Nothobranchius furzeri: one gene and its partners. The protein of the gene in region 1 interacts with the protein of each later gene in a pairwise test. Links are inferred from orthologs where the notes say so. Each region holds a gene or a part of one and is shown in the gene's direction. Other genes may lie near its edges. The genes, in order: immt, chd3, disc1, traf3ip1 and mrpl44.

The links.
Region 2: the proteins of immt (region 1) and chd3 interact in a two-hybrid assay, tested with the Homo sapiens proteins (2 studies listed by BioGRID and IntAct). The link is inferred for Nothobranchius furzeri from reciprocal best matches to the Homo sapiens genes IMMT and CHD3.
Region 3: the proteins of immt (region 1) and disc1 interact in binary tests that used the Homo sapiens proteins (3 or more experiments, as listed by UniProt). The link is inferred for Nothobranchius furzeri from reciprocal best matches to the Homo sapiens genes IMMT and DISC1.
Region 4: the proteins of immt (region 1) and traf3ip1 interact in a two-hybrid assay, tested with the Homo sapiens proteins (2 studies listed by BioGRID and IntAct). The link is inferred for Nothobranchius furzeri from reciprocal best matches to the Homo sapiens genes IMMT and TRAF3IP1.
Region 5: the proteins of immt (region 1) and mrpl44 interact in a two-hybrid assay, tested with the Homo sapiens proteins (2 studies listed by BioGRID and IntAct). The link is inferred for Nothobranchius furzeri from reciprocal best matches to the Homo sapiens genes IMMT and MRPL44.

What each region holds. Positions count from the first base shown.
Region 1 is NC_091741.1:108,913,307-108,917,407, forward strand, and holds part of immt (MICOS complex subunit MIC60), read left to right. Parts: intron 1-1,332; coding exon 1,333-1,419; intron 1,420-1,965; coding exon 1,966-2,109; intron 2,110-2,254; coding exon 2,255-2,388; intron 2,389-4,101. UniProt on the Homo sapiens protein: Component of the MICOS complex, a large protein complex of the mitochondrial inner membrane that plays crucial roles in the maintenance of crista junctions, inner membrane architecture, and formation of contact sites to the outer membrane.
Region 2 is NC_091742.1:58,713,269-58,717,369, reverse strand, and holds part of chd3 (chromodomain-helicase-DNA-binding protein 3), read left to right. Parts: intron 1-301; coding exon 302-433; intron 434-523; coding exon 524-641; intron 642-3,240; coding exon 3,241-3,365; intron 3,366-3,447; coding exon 3,448-3,679; intron 3,680-3,759; coding exon 3,760-3,944; intron 3,945-4,101.
Region 3 is NC_091752.1:2,396,488-2,400,588, forward strand, and holds the end of disc1 (disrupted in schizophrenia 1 protein), read left to right. Parts: intron 1-1,077; coding exon 1,078-1,200; intron 1,201-2,964; coding exon 2,965-3,156; 3' UTR 3,157-3,377; downstream 3,378-4,101. UniProt on the Homo sapiens protein: Involved in the regulation of multiple aspects of embryonic and adult neurogenesis. Required for neural progenitor proliferation in the ventrical/subventrical zone during embryonic brain development and in the adult dentate gyrus of the hippocampus.
Region 4 is NC_091754.1:2,495,812-2,499,912, reverse strand, and holds part of traf3ip1 (TRAF3-interacting protein 1), read left to right. Parts: intron 1-776; coding exon 777-902; intron 903-1,006; coding exon 1,007-1,363; intron 1,364-1,455; coding exon 1,456-1,533; intron 1,534-1,686; coding exon 1,687-1,710; intron 1,711-3,971; coding exon 3,972-4,047; intron 4,048-4,101.
Region 5 is NC_091753.1:32,618,908-32,623,709, forward strand, and holds mrpl44 (large ribosomal subunit protein mL44), read left to right. Parts: upstream 1-1,885; 5' UTR 1,886-1,910; coding exon 1,911-2,113; intron 2,114-2,739; coding exon 2,740-3,208; intron 3,209-3,319; coding exon 3,320-3,498; intron 3,499-3,579; coding exon 3,580-3,754; 3' UTR 3,755-4,098; downstream 4,099-4,802. Other genes in the region: dynein axonemal assembly factor 1, read right to left, coding at 273-733, 800-1,694. UniProt on the Homo sapiens protein: Component of the 39S subunit of mitochondrial ribosome. May have a function in the assembly/stability of nascent mitochondrial polypeptides exiting the ribosome.

The sequences.
Region 1 (4,101 bases):
TGCTAACTCGGCTGAAGTAAAAGCCACGGAATAAAAATGAGTCTTCAGGCGTGATTTTAAATCGGAGAGAGAGGGGGCCATTCTCACTGCTAGAGGGAGTTGATTCCAGAGACGAGGCGCAAAGATTGAGAACGCGCGTTCTCCTTGCGTCCTCGCCCAAACACTTGGGACCAGGTACGTAGGGCAGAACCAGCTGAGTCAAGTACAGAGCAGCATAAAGACGGAGTGACTTAAAAACAAGAAGTAAAATTTTAAACTGGATGCAGTAACGCACCGGGAGCCAGTGCAGCTGGGCCAGAACAGGATTAATGTGCTCCCTCCTTCTGGTGTCCGTCAAAAGGCGGGCCGCCGCATTCTGCACCAGCTGTAGGCGCGCAACCGAGGAAGATGTAGATCCATAAAGAAGGGAATTTGCATAATCAAAGCCAGAGATCACAAATGTATGGATCACTGTGTGCCGGTCATGTCTAGTCAGGATGGATTTCATCTTTGGTAGCCGGCGAAACTGGAAAAAGCAGGATCTAACCACCTGGCTAACCTCACTTGATCTGCTACTCGCTAGCGTTAGCTAATCTACCCGTAGTTCCACTTTTAATCCTAGATTTTGGACCGTTTCTGCCTTTGTGTCTTTTCTGGTTTCTGTTTTCCTCCACAGCACCTGTTAGCACGTTGTGCACCAGTAAAAGGCATCTTCTTTACACGATAGCAAGCAACGTACCTTTGTTCAATAAAGTTCTGGGGGGGGGGGGGGGGGGGAGTAGCTTGAAAAGATGTCGCACGAGTGCTACGTGTAAAAATAGTTTAATGCACACAGATTTTTTTTTTCATCGCACCTGCGACATATATGTCCCCCTCGCTCTGATCTGCCTCGGCCTGCTCTGCTGCTGCATACAGATGATCGTTGCCAGCGCATTTGCAGCCGCGGTGTCCATTACTGAACAGAAGCAGCCGGAGCAGTCTTGCTTTTGGGACTCTCGGACTCTGATTTTGTATCGTGCTTTGCTGTGTCTGCCAGCACTGTGTGTGTGTGTGTGTGTGTGTCTGATTCTATCTGCCAATTGGACGCTCCCCCTAATGGCACGCGTGATTTTGAGCTGGCCAATCAACCGGCGGTGGGTTTGTCAGCCTTGTTCGGTTCCAGGCAGACCGCCTTGGGAAGAGGGGTTGTGTGCAGGAATGAGAACAGCCCTAACCCGGTCCAGGCGGGGTGGAGCTGATGCTAGTGTGTAAGGGCCATTAGTGTCTCATCAGGGACTGGGTGGGTCTGTCTTTACATAACTCAGTAAGCGCACACACCAACCCGCTGTGCCTGTAATGTGTGTGTTCATGCAGAAGCGTCAGCAGAGGCGACTCAGATCATCTCGGCCATCAGTGAGGTCCCATCAGTTCCTGCTACGTGTGACTCAGAGGCAGCTGCAGGTACGTTCTCCTCCCCTCTGGAAGCTCTGACCTGGTGCTGGCCTGTAGGCCTTGGGTTGGACCTACTGGTGTCTGAATAAAGTCCAGCCTCCTCCAGGCCCAGGGTTCTACCTAGCAGGGCATAAAGCCTAATCTGGTCTCCACCAGGTTCTAAATGGTTCCATCCCAGTGTAGAAAACCACCTTCAGAGTCACCGGGTGGTCACGTGATGTCCAGGTCGTCTGTGCACAGGAGACCGTGGTTATGGAGACAGGGTGTGCTTCAGCCATGCAGACGTTTGGGTCACATGATGGAGGTGATGGTGGCTCAGGGGTTAGGAGTTTGTCCTGTAACCAGTGGGTTGTCGGTTTGAACCCAGGCTCTGTCCAGGTCATTGTTTGTGGTTTTAGCAGACACGTTCGTCCAAAGCGACTTACAGCTGTGGCTACAGTGTAGATCACCACCATCAGTGTGAGTGTCTGTTTAAAAAACATGAACTAGGTTCATATGATGCTGCTTCGTGTGTGTGTGTGTGTGTGTGTGTGTGTGTGTGTGTGTGTCCTACAGACGAGTGTAAGGAGTGTCACAAACACGCTGATGTTTCAGAGACGGCAGCAGTCGCGTCAGCAGAGCCTCTAAAGGAACGTCCAGTTGATGAGGTCACTGCTAGACTGGTCCAGCAAGACCAGGAGGAAGAGAAGCTTCTGGCCTGTGAGCGGATAACCACACACACACACACACACGCACACACACACATTAATGAAGCTTCCCTGGTTTAGAAGCGTGGTAGTCTGCAGCATCGGGGGTTTATGCTTGAAGCTTTAAGAGGTTTCTGAGCCTGCTGTTGTTTTTGCAGCCCTTTCATCTCGTCTGGAGGACTCTCTAGCCTCCTCTGCTAAGGCCACGCTGCAGGCTATTGGAGCTCAGGAGGTGGCTCTGCAGGCTGTCACCCAGCACACACGCAAGCTGAAGGACGCCATGGAGGCAGAGGTGGGTCAACCTGAGGATACCTGTGGTTCTAGGTGTGTGTGTGTGTGTGTGTGTGTGCGCGCGCACGTATGTGTGTGTGCGCGCGCTCGCAGGATGACAAGTCGGGCTAGAGCAGAGGTGTCCTGTTGTCTTTAAGACAAAAGACAAAATGGTAAAGTTAACCGTGCCCAAGGGCAAAGAAAAATGTGTCTTCCTTCTATTGAAATGATGAAGAGGCAGCAGCTGTCGATCATCAGGAGGTGGACTCCAAACAGAACATGTACGATAACTCCTGAAGTGAGATTTACAAACGGAACAGGACGTTCCATCTGTGACGCCGGGCTCTTCCGCTGGTTGCTCTTCCTGTCCGCGGAGGACGGAGCGGTATGTGCAGCCAGGCGAGTGATGTTCGGAGGAGCTGTCTGATGGGTGAGTTTAGGCTGGGGTCCTCAACTAAACCTGAGTTTTCTCCAGCAGACACCGTGAGGGCAAGACGCTCTTCTAAAATACACTTTAAGTATTATTGTTTGTTGTAATTTATTAATATTTAAAACGGCTTTGTTTCTGGACCAGCTCTGCACCCTTACGGGGTCCAGGAGGGTGCGTGGGAGCTCGCCCGACTAATCTACGAGTTTTGCTGTTAGGTCTGTGTGACCGGTGTCGGAGCTTGCCGGCAGTAAGTCGGGCTCGTTTCCAGTGAGAGTTGGACTCTGTCAGGGCTGCCTTTTGTCACCGATTCTGTTCATAACTGTTATAGATGGGACTTCTAGGTGCAGCCAAGGTGTTGAGGCGATCCGTTTTGGTGGCCTGAGGATCGGGTTTCTGCTTTTGGCAGACGTGGTCCTGTTGGCTTCATCAGAACGTGATCTCCAGCTTTTGCTGAGCGGTTCTTAACTGAGTGTGAAGCAGCTGGGATGACAATCAGCTCCTCTAAATTCGAGACCATGGTCTTGAATCGGAAAAGGGTAGAATGACAGCAGCAGCTCAGGAAGTACAGCGGGTTGTCCAGTAATGGGAAGGTTGCGGGTTCAATCCCGGCTCCGACCAGAGAATGCTGCTGTTGTGTCCTCCTTGGGCAAGACACTTAACCCGCCTTGCCTACTGGTGGTGGTCGGAGGGGTTGGTGGCGCTAGTGCTCGGCAGTCTCGCCTCTGTCAGAGCGCCCCAGGGCAGCTGTGGCTACATTGTAGCTCACCCCCACCAGTGTGTGAATGTGTGTGTGACTGATTGTGTTGTGAAGCGCCTTGGGGGGTTGCAGAAACCTAAGTAGGTGCTATACAAATACAGACAATTTACCATTCTCCGGGTCGGGGATGAGGTCCAGCCCCAAGTGGAGGAGTTTAAGTATCTCAAGTTCACGAATGAGGGCAAACTGGATCAGGAGATCGATAGGTGGGTAGGTGCTGCATCTGCGGTGATGTGGGCATTGTACCGCTCTGTCATGGTGAAGAGAGAGCTGAGTCAGAAGGCAAATTTATCTCTATTTACTGGTCTTTCTACGTTCCTACACTCACCTATGGTCATGAGCTTTGGGTAGTGACCGAAAGAACAAAATGGTGGATACAAACAGCCGAAATGAGTTTCCTCCGCAGAGTGGCTGGGCTCTCGAGAGGAGTCAGTTGAGGTGGCTCGGGCATCTGGTCAGGACGCCTCCCTGGTGAGGTTTTCCGGGCACGTCCAACCGGGAGGAGACCTAAAGGTAGACCCAGGACACGGTGGAGGGACTATGTCTCT
Region 2 (4,101 bases), on another chromosome or scaffold:
CTCACTGATGCACCAATGCTGAAGGAAAATCATCCCTCTCTGTCAAATCGCACTAAAAATGTCACTTGGTGTAACAGTGACACCTCGTGGTCTCTTGTGGTTGTGCTCCAATTATTTTATGTGTGTTTTTGTTCATTTAGAGTCTATTGGTGGTCACCTTGTGTCTGTTTTGTTACGATGTTAAACGTGTGTCTGTTTTGCTCCATGTGCATCCCTCTTTGTGTTCATGTTTGCACCAAATCTCTTAGAAGAAATATTCACAGTCACCAGTATTGAGTCTGTGGGGCCTTCTTGCGTACAGGAAGCCCAGAAAAGCCCCAGTGGTGCGTACGAAGGGTCGGCCCTCACAAAAGCCTCTGGGAAACTGATGCTGCTGCAGAAGATGCTGAGGAAGCTGAAGGAGCAGGGGCACCGAGTGCTTGTCTTCTCACAGGTTCCCCAGCACACAGAAAGCAGCACAAGCACCAGATGACAGGTGACGTTAGCCAGCAGAAGGCTCTGATGATGTTTCTGTGGTCTTTAGATGACTAAAATGTTGGACTTACTGGAGGATTTTCTGGACCATGAGGGCTACAAGTATGAGAGAATCGACGGAGGCATCACAGGAGCACTGAGACAAGAAGCCATCGACAGATTCAACGGTGAGAAAAAACACACTTTAACAGAGACAGAGTTTTGCGGATTAAAGAGGAGTTTAAAAATAAAATAGCAAAGTAAAGACACATCCCAAAGACACTAAAGGGATGCTGCGGCGTGGCTTTTCACAATAAGAGCATTAAAGTATGGTTGTTTTCATCTGAGTAATTACCTTTAGGAATCTGGTTTTACCCATTTATGTCAGCAGGTGGCAGAGGTGAGTTATGTTTGGGTGAACCAAAGATGAAATGTGTGCTCTATTTTTAAAATAAGATGGGATTGCAATTCAAAGAGTAAAAGAAACTAAATTTCTTGGAGTTCTTATTGATGAAGACTTGTCATAGAAATCCCAAATTAGTTACATAAAAGGTCAAATTGCCAAATCCTTAGGAGTATCACATAGAGTCAAGTTTTTACTGACTAGTTCTGGTTTGTTGGCATTGTACAATTCACTGATTGTTCCATACTTGACTTATTGTGTAGATATCTGTGGAGCAGCATACAAAAACTATACACAACCCTTATTTATTTTACAGAAAAGAGCTCTGAGAATCATCAATTATAGTGGCTGTAGAGATCCATCGAACCCATTTAAAAAGCACCTCAAACTACATCTTAAAGGCTCCCAGACATGTTTGCATCTTTAGTTATTCTTATTTTTTGTTGCCTATTTTAATGGAATGTTTCTATCTGACTGTTTTTAAATTGTATAGTGTTACTTGTTTTACTTAGTTATCTTGTTGAAGGACTACAGATGCAAATGAGCAACTATGCTATATAATTTGGCCCATTTACGATCGATACAATGTATTTGATTGTTTATTAATGTGCATTGTCCTGAATAAATAATTGAATTGAATTGTTTATTAAATATAAATTACTGAAATTTCATGATTTAAAAAGACTGGAAAATCTTACAAACCATGTATGAAGCCAATTTAGGTACTCTGCCAACAAACATTCAGGGGATATTTGAAAAGAGAACTAGTAATTATATGCTGAAAGATACTGATGTGTTTGCAAAACCTAGATTTAGAACTAAAATTAAGGAGTGGAATACATCTGTAAATGGTGTTAAATTATTAATAACCTTAAAAGGGAAATTAAAAAAACTCTGTCATTTAATATATTAAAAAAATGTACCAAATTGAGTGTACTAAATAATTATGAAAATGTTAATTAAATCAGTGATCATGATCGCACTGGAATTTAGAACAGGAAAAAGTTTAAAATGAATCTCTGTGTGTGTGTGTGTCTGACAAATGGAAATTATATATAAATTATTTCTTCTGGAATAGGGGGCAGAAATTATAAGATGTTTTTCTTCATTCTGCTCCTTTTCGTTCAAATTTGATTTTTTGTTATGAATATCTTATTGTTTATATGTTTTATTTGTTTTTATTTTGAATGAAATAAAAAAGAGAGAAAAAAACTTGACTTTTAAAACAGATGCACATGAATTAAGCCTTCAGAAGGCGTGGAAGTTTATGACAAGCCATTTCAATTCAATTCAATTCAAAAAAACTTTATTAATCCCAGAGGGAAATTGATTAATTGATTTCACTCTAAATATAAACGATTAAAAACTGTTATCAATAGATACTTAAAAGTATTCTATCAAATAAATAAATGTTTCAATAAAAATTATTAACAGGAAGCTAATTTAGTCAATTAGAATTTTATATTATATTATATTATTTATTTATTTTATGATTGTCTTTTTTGTGATGCTTTAATATTTTTAAATAAATATTTCATGGATTTTTTTCTCTCCATTTTGTTCAGGTTCTATTTATTTTATGCTTGTATATTCAAATGAGTGGGCGGGGTTTTCTCTGAGGGGCGGGGTTTTCTCTGCTCACCTACGGAGCACAGTGGAGCGTATTCCCGCTGAGCCCTTTTTGGACTCTTGCTAGTGTCAGTATGACAGACGAGTGGGCGACGCCCTTTAGTAATGACGATTCATTGTTAGCAACAACATAATAACAGGATTTCTTTTAAAACATTTGACCATAATGGCTTTCCATACAGGTGAGTGTCCATTGAAAAGAAAGACAAAATAAAAGCATTACAATAAATAATTATTTTAAAAAATTTATGTTTTATAAATCTGAAATTTTCTCTGATCAACTCAAGAAAAAAACTTCTTAAACCTAAAAATGTAAAACCAGCCCTCATAAACAGACCTGTCGACTGGAATAAATACCGCAGAAATACGCGATGCCAACTAATAAAGTGGGAAATAAACAGGCAGAAACAGAAGTGACCGTTTGTTCAACGTTTTAACAAAAACAGGATGTTAGTAAATTACAGGCTCCTGATTATTCCCAGATCTGCTTGCTCCAGGTAGAAATTCCTGTTTATCACTGGAATGAGCTTGTTTTGCGTGGACCGTGACCAGACTTTTACAAAACGGTCTCAGTCAGAGTAAATCCAGCTGAAGCGAGGTAAATCAGTCTGGCACTTTTGAGTTTTAAAGCTAAACAGTGTTTTAGGGAAGCAAAGCATTAATGAGCGTTGGAAGTTAAAGTTTCCCGCGTTACTTCCACGAGGATTAGATTTTTGTGTCAGGGTGGATAATCACACCGTCTCCCTCGTCTCCAGCTCCTGGAGCTTGTCAGTTCTGCTTCCTGCTCTCCACCAGAGCTGGAGGTCTGGGCATCAACCTGGCCACGGCGGACACCGTCATCATCTTCGACTCTGACTGGAACCCCCACAACGACATACAGGTACAGCCTCTGATGGAATAAACCGTCGTCTGTCTAACTTCTGTTCTGCTTTATCTGAAGCAGCCTCTCTCTTGCCGCTCAGGCGTTCAGTAGAGCTCATCGGATCGGGCAGGCCAACAAGGTGATGATCTACCGCTTTGTGACGCGAGCCAGCGTGGAGGAGCGCATCACCCAGGTAGCGAAGAGGAAGATGATGCTGACCCACCTGGTGGTGCGGCCCGGTTTGGGATCCAAGGCGGGCTCCATGACAAAACAGGAGCTGGACGATATCCTCAAGTTTGGGACGGAGGAGCTCTTTAAGGACGAGGGAGAAGGTGACTGATGGTTCTGGCTGTGGCCATTTTTATTTGTTGGATTATTCTGAAAAGAAAAAAAAAAACAAATATGCTGGCAGGTATGAAGAATAATTCTGGGGATAAAGTGGAGGACGAAGGCAACGTGATTCATTACGACAGCACCGCCATCGAGAGGCTCCTGGACCGGAGCCAGGACGACACCGACGACTCGGACGTCCAGAACATGAACGAGTACCTCAGCTCCTTTAAGGTGGCCCAGTACATGGTCCGAGAGGAGGACAAGGTACGGTGAGGTCAAACAGGAAGTGGGGGAGGACGTAGACAGAGTGGAGAGCGAGAGGGAGGAAAAATAGATAAAGTTTCCTGTGAATAAACTCTTGAATCATTTTGGCTTGAGGCCCATAAAATGTTCAAATCACGAGAGCTTTCCGTGCAGAGGA
Region 3 (4,101 bases), on another chromosome or scaffold:
CCTAAGCAGGGAGGCCCAGACTTCCGTCTCCCCAGCTGCTTGGGCCAGCTCCTCCAGGGAAGCACTAAGGCGTTCCCTGGCCAGCCGAGAAGCATAGTCCCTCCAGCGTATTCTGGGTCTTCCTGTGGGTCTCCTCCCGGTTAGACGTGCCTCACCAGGGAGGCATCTAGGAGGCATCCTAATCAGATGCCCGAGCCACCTCAACTGGCTCCACTCGATGTGGAGGAGCAGCGGGTCTACTCCGAGCTCCTCCCTGATGATCGAGCATCTCACCTTATCTCTAAGGGAGAGCCTAGCCACCCTGCGGAGAACACTCATTTCAGCCGCTTGTATCCGCGATCTCATTCTTTCAGTCACTACCCAAAGCTCGTAAGGTTAGGTGAGGGTAGGAACGTAGATCAACCAGTAAATCAAGAGCTTCGACTTCCAGGTCAGCTCTCTCTTCACCACAACAGACCGGTACAACGCCAGCTCCAGATCAAGCTCCCGCTACATCTTTCTCTCATACATGAACAACACCCTGAGATGCTTAAACTCCTCCCCTTGGGGGGTAGGACCTCATCCCTGACCTGGAGAAGGCGTTCTACCCTTTTCCAACTCAAGACCACGGTCTCGGGTTCAGAGGAGCTGATTGTTTCAAGAACAAACTAAACGTACAGTTGCTGTTTTATGGAGCCAAAATTAAATAAACCGATAAAAACTGGAGTGACACAAATAAAAGGCGTAGATAGTGAGAGATTTGAGTATCAGGAATAAACAATAAAGACACCTGTAAATATCAGCCCGTAACTGGTAACAAAGAGATTTAGTGTTTGTAAGTGTTTCTACTTGTTTTTGTGTCCTCATGTCTTCTAATGTCCTTCTGAACTCCTGCTTTTCCTTTTCAATGCAAACGTGTTGGTCTGATCAACAAAACCAGCATAAAAGTACCAAAACTGATGTTTTTATGGATGCACATAGCCCACAGATACGCTGAATGTCCTATAAGATGTGGACAGTCTTCCGTGTGTATGCGTGTTCTCATTTTAATAACACACCCTTACACTTGGAGGTTTTGTTTTGTCCTTTCCGGACCAGGATGTGTGCAGCGAGGCGGAGGCTGCAGACCTGATGGAGCGCTGTGAGCTGATCAGTGACAGACTGATGGCCTTGGAGGACGAACTGCAGACGGCTTTGCTGAAACAGGATCGAGCCCTTACCCATATCCTTTCTCTCTGAACATACATGAATCACACAGACTGGATGTTTGTGTGTCTGCGTCCGTCCGTCTGAAGGACCGCTTTCCTCCGGCCTTTTTCCTAAAGCTAGATGCTGACTGATGTCGGTTTGCAGTGGCTTCACCTTTCTGAGGGAAAAGCTGTCATTATGGATCCGTTTTCCAGGGAGTGGATGGTAAACTAGGATCAAAGAGGTTTTTTTTGGTTGTTATTTCCTGACAGACTGGATGTGCCGACCAGAAAATGAAACGGTAAAAGTCCACGCGAGGTTATTAAAGGGCCACTGATGTGCGCTGCCAGTCACTGCGAGCTGAGATTAAAGCCGCCCGACAGGAGCTGCGCCGCAGCAGATAGAGGAATGTCACTGTGATGACTGCTCCTGTCAAATCTCAATGTCCATCCTCCGTCTGACCCCCCTTCCTCAGCTCCACTCCCCTCCCCTTCTGCCCGGTTCCGGTGGGGAAGAAAATTACAATATCCATGATAATAACTCAAATCCAACTGTTGGAGCTGATTACATCACTCTCTGCACTAATTAGAAAGTTGATTGGAATTAGATCCGTGTGTTTTTCTTGCGCCTGCGTCTCCTCTTCCGTGTTGCTGCCTTATTAAGCCAGATAATATTTCAGAACCGGAGGTAAGGAAAATTTGCCACCTGACTTTTTATCATCACCCTCGATCACAAGTTATTTCCTCTTCTTTGAAAGCAACCCGGCAAAAATGCCTCCTAACATAACGAATCTCTGAACACAGCATGCCACACGACCCATTTACCCAGATGTTTGAACGTTTTCTTGAAGACCCGTGTTGACCACTGTGCTGTGAGAGGTCAACGCAGGCTCGTCTATCGTAAGCGTGATATCCATGCGTGCTGGCAGCTAGGAGTAGACGGAGACTGGCTCTCTCCTCTCCGGCTCTCTGTTCTCATGTCCAGATGTGTCACTTATTTCCTGTAGATGAAGTCCCTGCACTCATGCAGTAGGGCTGTGGACTCTTGAGGACACCAGAGAGGCAGGATGATATTGTTGGTTTGCAAAATTGAATGGAGCCCGTTCTAGCGATGGCGCTGCTGTTGCCATAGCGACAGGAAGATCAAACCAGCAGCCTGGAAGGGTCTTAATTGAATTCCGGCTCTCAATAATAATAAGACGTGTATGGACAACCACAGAGAGAGGGACTGGAGATGAAGATAGGAGGAATTTTGTCAGTGTTTGATATTAGCTTAAGAGATTTCCAACATAATCTTGAACATCTTCCTGTTTGAGCCACGATCCGCTAAAAATCTCGTGCTACCTTTTGAATTATTCATGCGTGGCTCTTTAACGGGTGTCCACTCAGGCCCCATCTGCCTTTAAAGTCGTCCCTTTGATTTTCCACTGAAGCCGGACACCCACACCATTTGTTTAAGGTACTAAGCAGGTTAAACAATCCTCCAAACTGATGACAGCCAGCATCCCGTTCCATCATGACGTTTCATGAATAATTAAGATCGGCGGTCTGCCTGCATGGGTTCGCACTTTAGATGAGCTCATGAATACTGAACTAGATTAGGGTTAAAGTGGGTATAAGTCGATGGTCAGTAATCTGTTTGGAGGCTGGTGGCTGCATGGCGTCACGGCTGACCTCAGCTAGCACCGTTAGCCATTACAGTCAACAAGTCCCACTTTTTTCCTTGATGTTTTTCTGTTGGCGTGTTTCTAATTTGCACAGCAAGCAGACATAATCGTTTCCCTTAACTCACGCTGCACAGTCCTTAGAAACAGAAGTTCAGCAGGTAAAGTCCACTTTACAGGCCATGCTCGCACAGCTGAAGGTGGAGGAAGAGGAGGAAGAGGAGGGAGAGGAGCTGAATGACCTGATGAAGAATGGGACTCTAGAGGAGGAGGAGGAGGAGGAGGAAGAGGAGGACCAGTACTTCAGTGACAGCTGGGACATCTGAACCTGGAGCAACAGCAAGAATCTGACCTTGGTGTTGAATAAAAGTGACCTCATTATCAGTTTACAGATTAGCCAAGGGGCTTAAATGCCTGCGTGACATTTAGTGGAACTGCAAAAGGAAATAAACATCAAGGGTTTGATTGGCAGTACAGCCGTGGCCACCAGTTTTACATCATTTAGTCATCCTGAAGTAGGTCTTTAAACCTAGATTTAACTACTAGACATCCAAACAGGGCCTGGAAATGCAAACCAGAACTAACTGCTGTCCCCCTAGTGGCTGGCTGCAGCGTTAGTTTTAAAGGAGCATGGCGTAATCATTCCACAGTGAAATAATCACAAAACAGTCTAATGACTGAGTCATGGAAGGAAGGTCACAAAGAAACAGCTTTCATTCTCAGCTGACTAGGGTGTTGTCAGTTTTTCTCCCTTAAAAAAACTAAAGATGGACGTAGCCAGCACTCCGCCCACGCGCATCTGGCACTGTGCGTAGGGCACCAACTGATCAACCTTACCCCCCCCCCCCCCCCCCCCCAGCTCAAACACCAGCCGTGTGGTTCAATCTTCAGTGGTCTCCAGTAGGAATGAATGTCCTGTAAGTCGTTGTCGGGGGGAAAAATGTACCGGTGCACCTTTTTCGGGAGCTAGAAGTGAGCCACATCGCAGCTGAGCTTCAGACGGCAGGTTTTGTAGTCTGTTTTTTCTGATATTTAGACATTTTGCCCCAGATTGGAGAACAGCAACGCAATTCTACCACTGACTTGACTTCCAACACTGATATCTACCTCCACAAATAACACAAGCCTGGAGGATTTTCTGCTGTGTGGTGGAGTTGCTAATGCTAACGGTTAGCTTCTACTAATCCAGACACTCTCAGCTGCTTCTTGGACGCTAAACCAACAACAACCTTCCCCGCCACGGGTCTAGATGGGTGAGTCCATGAACGTTA
Region 4 (4,101 bases), on another chromosome or scaffold:
TCACACACACACGCGCGCGCACACACACACGCACGCACACACACACACACACACACACACATGCACTCACACTCACACACACACACACACACACACACACACACACACACACACACACACGCGCGCGCACGCACACACACACACACACACACACACTCACACTCACACTCACACTCACACTCACACACACACACATGCACTCACACTCACACACACACACACACACACACATGCACTCACACTCACACACACGCACACACACACACTCACACTCACACACGTGCATATGCATGTGTACGCACTCACACAAAGACACAAAAAGTGTTTTTTATATTGTTTTTATGGGAATTCATTAAAATAAAACTCCATTTTTGTTTTTAACAAACATTTTTTCCACTCCTGGGAAATGTTTTCTTCTGCCTCAGGAGAACTCTGACACACCCTGGAGGTGGAGGTAATGAGCCACTTTCCTAGGGACCGTTGTAAACAGTTCCTGGTGCTTTAAATACATTCTCACTGCAGCGTATGCAGCGAGAATCAGAATATTTGTGTAGAGCACTGAAGGTTGTAGCATCATTTTCTTTTTTTAGGCCATAAGTGTGAAAAAGGCAAAAACACACAAGCTAAAACAAGTGCGTGTACAGATGACGTAAGAGGGGATGAATAAGAATACATTTAAAATGTGTGTTATTTGTGAAATGTTGCCTTTCAACTTAAAAACACGATGAGGTTTTTTCCATCCTCCGCTTTGAGGATCTTTACTGTTTGGTCTGCAGTTGTCCAGTGATGAAGCAGTGAAGCGAGTGCTGGCAGGAGACAAGGTGGACTTAAAAACCAGAGCCAGCACGTCCAAGTCTCAGAGTAACGACAGGGAGGGACGCAAACACACACAGAATGATGAGGTGAGTAAAAAGACTTTTCTATACTTTTCCAATAAAAAGTTATGTTTCACATATCTATCCTCATGATCGGGTCCCCGTCCTTACTTTGGTTTATATAATATCAGGAAAAGAAAAAGGCAACCGAGCGCAGCAGCAGCGAGGACCAGAAGGACGCCGAGCGGCCCCAAAAGCCAGAGAGTCAACGCAGAGATGAGAATAAAGAGCACCAACGGGACCGTAGGCGCTCCGACAGGAATCACCGCGGTGAGCAGCAGCATCCCGCCAAAGGCCACGACAAGAGCAGGGACCGGGAGCAGGACAAAGGACACGCCCGGGACAGGCACAAGGAGAAAGACCGCGACAGGGATCGAGGCAGAGACGATCAGACAATCAGAGAGAGAGAATCTCACAGAGACAAACACAGAGAGCGGCAGAAAGACCAGGAAGAGAGAAACCCAAGTGACGAGAGTAGAAACGACAAAGTATGATGCTTCACTCCACTTCTGTCCTAAATCTGAGCACTGATCACTCACACAAAGTTTGTTTGTTTGTTTGTTTGTTTGTTTGTGTTCAGACCAGAGAGGCAGACAAACTGCTGCAGAAACTCGGTCCTGAAGAGCAGAGCAACAAATCAGCCACCACAGAGCCAGTGGTGAGTCTGCGTTGGGTTTTACGTCTGCTTCTGTACGCACCTGTTAGTAAAAGGCCTTCGGGGGGATTCAGAGCGTTTCTGTGGTGTTAGATGTGTCCGAGTTTTTACTGTGATTCCTGAAAGCCACACATCTGTGTTTTTTTGTCTGTTTAGCCCTCAGAGGTAGAAGAGAATCAGGTGAGAATGTAACCAGCGGTGTGTAATCCTAACCCTAATCTGGCGATGAGATAAATATCACAATACAGACGATACGTCGTGACACTAAAACCCCGATTAGACTGAAATTCATTGGAAAACTCAGATCAGACTCTTCCAGTATTATAACAGTATGATTGTGAGATCTCGTTGTTCCGTCAGAGTGGAGGCGGTGGAAGCTGCTGCCACCTTGCAGTCGGAGTTTGAATTGCACCGCACAAAAATACAGGTCCTTCAAAAAAAATCTGCATATTGTGATAAAGTTCATTATTGTCTGTAATGTACTGATAAACATTAGACTTTCATATATATTAGATTCATTACACACAACTGAAGTAGTTCAAGCCTTTTACTGTTTCTAATATTGATGATTTTGGCGTACAGCTCATGAAAACCCAAAATTCCTGTCTCTAAAAATTAGCATATCATGAAAAGGTTTTCTAAACGAGCTATTAACCTAATCATCTGAATCCACTAATTAACTCTAAACACCTGCAAAAGATTCCTGAGGCTTTTAAAAACTCCCAGCCTGGTTCCTTACTCAAAACCACAATCATGGGTAAGACTGCCGACCTGACTGCTGTCCACAAGGCCATCATTGACACCCTCAAGCAAGAGGGTAAGACACAGAAAGACATTTCTGAGTGAATAGGCTGTTCCCAGAGTGCTGCATCAAGGCACCTCAGTGGGAAGTCTGTGGGAAGGAACAAGTGTGGCAGAAAGCGCTGCACAACGAGAAGAGGTGACCGGACCCTGAGGAAGATTGTGGAGAAGGACCGATTCCAGACCTTGGGGGACCTGCGGAGGCAGTGGACTGAGTCTGGAGTAGAAACATCCAGAGCCACCGTGTACAGGCGTGTGCAGGAAATGGGCTACAGGTGCCGCATTCCCCAGGTCAAGCCACCTTTGAACCAGAAACCGTGGCAGAAGCGCCTGACCTGGGCTACAGAGAAGCAGCGCTGGACTGTTGCTCAGTGGTCCAAAGTACTTTTTACAGATGAAAGCAAATTTTGATGTCATTCAGAAATCAAGGTGCCAGAGTCTGGAGGAAGACTGGGCAGAGGGAAATGCCAACATGCCTGAAGTCCAGTGTCAAGTACCCACAGTCAGTGATGGTCTGGGGTGCCATGTCAGCTGCTGGTGTTGGTCCACTGTGTTTTATCAAGGGCAGGGTCCATGCAGCTAGCTATCAGGAGATTTTGGAGCACTTCATGCTTCCATCTGCTGAAAAGCTTTATGGAGATGAAGATTTCATTTTTCAGCACGACCTGGCACCTGCTCACAGTGCCAACACCACTGCTAAAGGGTTTACTGACCATGGTATGACCTGAACCCCGTAGAGAATCTGTGGGATATTGTGAAGAGAAAGTTGAGAGACGCCAGACCCAACACTCTGGATGAGCTTAAGGCCGCTATCGAAGCATCCTGGGCCTCCATAACACCTCAGCAGTGCCACAGGCTGATCGCCTCCATGCCACGCCGCATTGAAGCAGTCATTTCTGCTAAAGGATTCCCGACCAAGTACTGAGTGCATAACTGAACATAATTATTTGAAGGTTGACTTTTTTGTATTAAAATCACTTTTTTTTATTGGTCGGATGAAATATGCAAATTTTTAGAGATAGCAAATTTGGGTTTTCATGAGCTGTACGCCAAAATCATCAATATTAGAAACAGTAAAAGGCTTGAACTACTTCAGTTGTGTGTAATGAATCTAATATATATGAAAGTCTAATGTTTATCAGTACATTACAGACAATAATGAACTTTATCACAATATGCTAATTTATTGAGAAGGACCTGTTCAGTAAATGTTTGTAAATTCTCTAAAGAAAATGGGTACGCTGCTTTTAAATATCGATTCACAAACACTGCATATTGTGATATTTCTGTGTGTTGCTATTTTCTTACATCCCCAAACTTAACAGTAACTAAGAGTGGAGAGGAATCAGCGAAGCTTTTCTTCATGTCCTCTTGTTCTGAATGATCTAACGGGATCAGTGAGGTTAACAAACACAACAAATGATGTCATTAATGATGATCCGTTCTTTCCATGTCTGGTTTTCCTGTTTTTAGACACCTCATGGTTCCACCTTTCATCCTTTTTTGGGTGGTTTTGTATGTTGTTAGTTTTCTGCTGCTGTCCTAGCTGGAGGCCGTGCGTCGTGATGAAATACGACACACGCTGCCTAAAGCAGGACAGGCTATGATCAAAAATAATTCTGTCGGTTCTTGTTTTTCAGTTTGAAAATCCAACCAGAATACCTCGGCCATCGTCTGCCAAAGGGCAGAGGAGGAGGCCCAAGATCGGAGGTCAAGGTAATTCCTAACACCTTCCCACACTTGAAACGTTGTTTTAAAGATGCCTTCCTG
Region 5 (4,802 bases), on another chromosome or scaffold:
ACTTTTAAAGCCAAACTTTGTCATTTTTTTTCCCCAAGAAAATGTTACAAACAACCAAAACCACTGACATGGATGAAAAATTCCATCATAACAAAAGATTCTACATCTTAACATTACTTTTCTGGTTCTTTTGGTAAATTTTTACATAACGTTAGACTTTAATCGAAGCTTCACTAAAAAGTTCTCAAATCAAACACGTTCATCCAGTCCTTCAGTCAGGCATCACCCCGAGGAGCTCAGGCCTCGGCTGGAGGAAAAGGCAGAGCAGTAGGTTAGAAAGCTGAGTTTTGACTTGAACCTGAGAGGGAGCGGTCTTCGCTCCAGTCCAGCGCTGACTCCTCCTCATCATCATCACTGCCTCCAGATATGACTTCTATCTTTGGCTTGAACACCTGCTGAGAGGAGCTTTCAGTAAAACCCTCCAGTTCCACATTCTCTAAATCAGGCAGGTCATCGATGTGCAGTGGCCGGTTTGTGAGGAGTTGGATTGTTTCCAGCTGCTCTTCATCCTCCAACTCTGTGACCAGTGGTCCAGGACCGTGTGCTGTTCCAAGATCATCTTCTTTGGTGAGAAGAGACCTAGGAGAAGGCTTCCTGTTTTCAGAGCACACTTCACCTCTCTTTACATCGTTTTGGTTTTTGTCTTCATCCTCCTGTTCTGATAGATTATCCAGGAGCTCTTCATGTGCATCCAGGAGGACCATCTCTGGAGAGGTGGGGGCCTCTGTTTCCTCTGAAAGAAGGTTATTTAAGTTACAATCTACATTTTGTTTTGTACTTCATGTGTGCAAATGCTCACCACGAAGGCGGCGTCTCTCCAGAGCCTTTTGGCGAATCATCTCCATTCCCTTCAAGCGCTTCTGGACTTTCATCTTCACCTGGAATTCCCACTGCTCCTTCTCCTTTTCCAGTCCCCCCCTCGCCCACGCCTCTGCACATGCCCGCTCTTTGGGGAAAACAGGGCGATCATCGAGGAAAGTGAGCTGCTTGAGGCGAAAGATCACAGCCTTCCTGTAGTTTGGGGTCTTCTTTACCACCTCGTTTCCCATCAGGTTCAGCACTCGCAGGTCCGGCATGGCCTCAAGCACAGAGAGGATCTTGGGATCATGAAGCAGATTGTGAGACAGGTCCAAAACGCTGATGGCCAGACAATGACGTAAATGCTCAATGTCCTCCACAGACTCCAGCTTGTTGTGAGCAATGTCCAGAGTGCTGAGGTCAGAAAGCCCAGAGATGTTTTCTATAATGTGGATGTGGTTGTTGGATACGTTCAGGATGTGAAGATCTCTTAGATGTTCAAGGTTTTCCAGCTTGTGAATGTGGTTATGCTGAAGGTACAAGCAGCGTAGATGAATTTGGGCATCCAGGTTCTCAATGCGCTGCAACACGTTGTTTGCCAGCCAGAGGCACTTCAGGTCTGTGTATTCCTCTAGATTCTCAATGACAGAGAAACCCTTGGAGTGCAGATAAAGCGTGTCATTAAGGGAAGGGGTGTAGTACAGCTTGTGCTGCTTACAGAGCTCTTTAAGGAGCTTCCTAGTAATTCGTGGCATCGAATATGTTTCTTCTTGCAGTGAGCTTTGCTTCAGTTGTCTGGCTTCCCGTTTTAATTCAGCTCCAGCCTCTAAAATACCTCCTGGTGCATGAATGCCGGATGATTTTGAAATATCTCCACCTTCAGAATGAGCTGCCATCGTTTGTTGGGCTAGCCTTCTTCAAAAAAAAAAAAAAAACTATGAAAGTATCCCAAAGGATGGAAAAATAATATGTCTTGCTTATATATTGAAATGATTAGTTTTCGTTGTCTAATATTAGCAGTTAGTCCGCCTGTTTGTTGTCGTTAACCGCTTGGTTTGTTTCCATAGTAACGATTGGTCGACCGGATTTAGTTTCGCATCGGACTCTTTAAGATGTTGCACACTGCTCCTGTTGGAAACATGTCGGCTATGTACTTGTTCAGTCGTGGTGTCCTAACATCTGGAATACACCGCCAGCTCGTCTGTGGAAGTGTTTCACTGTTTCAGATTAGAGGGAAGAAACGATGGATGAGAGCGTACACGTACATCATGGCCAAGAAGCTAAAGCTGGAAGGACCTCCTCCACCGAAGCCACGGTAACGTTAGCAGCTAATGCTAAAGTTTACCAGAGAGCACCTCAAGGCCAAACATGTCACATTTCTGTCAATTTAGGCTACACAAAGGAGGTTTAACCAGCTTTGTTTACTGAGTTCAAAGCAGAAAATAAATATGTTGAGCATCAAGAAGAAATAAAACAAAATAAGCTAACGAGATTTAATAGCAGCAATGGAAAATTCCTGAAAACATTTTAAAAAAGGACTTGCCACAAGATAGTGGCTATGTATTATAGAGGCCCAAAATCCTGATAACGTCAATTATTTAATCATTGTTCCATCATATTTCCAGTCAAAATCAAAACTTTCAAGAGAAACAGATTAGAACCATGTTCACATTCTGTATTTGGTTCACATGCTAATAAAAATAGCTTCACTGCTCTTAATTGGTGGTTGTTTCTAAGGGGATGGATATTTAGTCTGGCTTGCTCTTAGCAGCACACCGCACACCGGTCCATTTTATTAAGGTGCATACAGGGTGGTCCATATAAACTGCCCACCCAGTATTTATTTACAAATATAACGAGTGTTTATTCTCCTAGAATTTATGACACATTTTGTACTATTTTTTTGTCTAAGAATTTGCTCCATATCTCACTTTCTTTCAGGTCACAGCATCCTAACTGGGATTACCACGCTGAAGTTCAAGCTTTCAGCACTCGCCTCAATGAAAACTTCTCCCTGGAGCTACTTAAAACAGCCTTCGTTAATCCCTGTTACCTGCAGGCAGAGCAGGACAGGAGAAAGGGATTAGGTGTGGATTCAGAAGCTACAGCTCTGGTTCTCAAGGATAACAACCAGCTGAGTAAATCTGGAGAGGGTTTTACTAAGAGCTTCATTAGCGACTGGTGCAGAGCAAATTTCCCTAGTCTGCCAGATGAAGGTGTGGAGAGTGTTGTGGGACATCTTGCCAGCCCAGAGGTTGTGACATATGTTGCAAGAAATCTTGGCCTTGAGGACCTTACCATGAGCGCAGAGTTCCCTGTTCCAGATGATGTGCTCTATTCTACATTCATGGCGGTGATTGGAGCTCTGCAGGAGAGCAGTGGAGCAGAACGAGCTAGATTTTTTCTCAGAGTAAGATGAACACAGAGTAACACTTGATGTTTATTTCTAAATATGTGCTCATCCTAAAACTGCACGGTTGGATTCGTGTTCAGCGTGTCATGATATTCTGCCACTTCTTAGGACTTCCTGTTGACTCAGCTGATAGGGAAGGACCTGTTTGACATGTGGACTGTGGTCAACCCTATGGGCCTGCTGGTGGAGGAGCTGACAAAGAGGAATGTTCCTCTTCCAGAGCCTCGTCTCATCAGGGCTGCTGGTGCCAGCACTGTCCTACCACTCTACTTTGTTGGGCTTTACAGGTATGTGTGTTACTATGCAGCTGTTTTTTGTCCTCTGCATCATATAAATATACCTGTTTTTGTCTGTTCACCTCTGATAAGTGACCAGAAGCTCCTGGCTAATGGTCCAGGAGAGACACTGGCTGGAGCTGAGGAAGAAGCAGCACGCGTTGCCCTTCGAAAACTTTACGGCTACACTGAGAACCGCAGACCCATCGACTTTTCTCCACAACAGCAGCACGAGCAATGCAAACTTCAGTCTGCCAGCAGTACTTAGTAAAGTAATAATTATACTCCAGCAAAAAATAAAGGGGATATAGGTAGGCAGAAATGTATTGTGCTTGTCAGTGTTGATGCTGATGAGTTTTAAAATGAGAGCTGCAATAATGCTGTAAGATCATGCTTTCTACTGTATTAAACAGACGGCCCATGTTTGAGCTATTATTAGTATAAAATCGACTAGTTTCACTGTCGTACCTGCATAAAACCAGCTGATTCATTTTTACCATCTACCCCTGCCATCTCACCATCTATTTGTAAATAATACATCTGGTGTTTAGCAAAATTTGTATTATGTTGTGTAATTTGTATGTAATAAATTTTATTTACAAATTTGTGAAAATTGTAATGTTTTTAATATTTACATCAGCATTCAATGAGAAATCCAAGCATCCTTGATCAAGTATATTTTTCACTAAGCCTTTAGAGCTTACCTTGAAAAAAAATACATATATATTTAAAATCTATGTAATATTTTAGTTTCACAACAAACGTTGAGACTTGGTTTTGTGTTGCAGTGGCTATGAAGAGCCTCATGATGGCGCTGGTGAGCGGTCGTTTTCACTGTCATGAGCATTGCCAAAGATTACATAAAAATGACAAGATAGTTCGTTTCCCCAACTTTCGAATGTAATAAAACCAGGACATTTCTGACAAAATGTTTTTGTTCTGGCTAGAGATTATACTTCATTACCTGGAATAATTTTGAAATATACCGAACTCGAATATTTCATATAACAGTTATTGTTCAGACATTTTGCCAGTCGCGACCTAATAGTTTGATTATTACATTTGACTTCCAACTGCTAGACCAAATTTTGCTACATTCCGCCCAGAACGTTCAGGTATCGTACGTATTTATGTATATTCTATTCTATGTGCAGCGTAGTCTGCCTAATAACAGGGTTTTAGGGAAAGCGGAAGTCGATAGCAGGAAGTATCTTGTTCCCCTCTTGAGTGCGTGAGCCTCTTTTTCTAGGAGACGTGAGGCCGCCCGCCCTGACAACGGAGCCACTTTAACCACCCCCTGGCTGCCGTTAGCACGA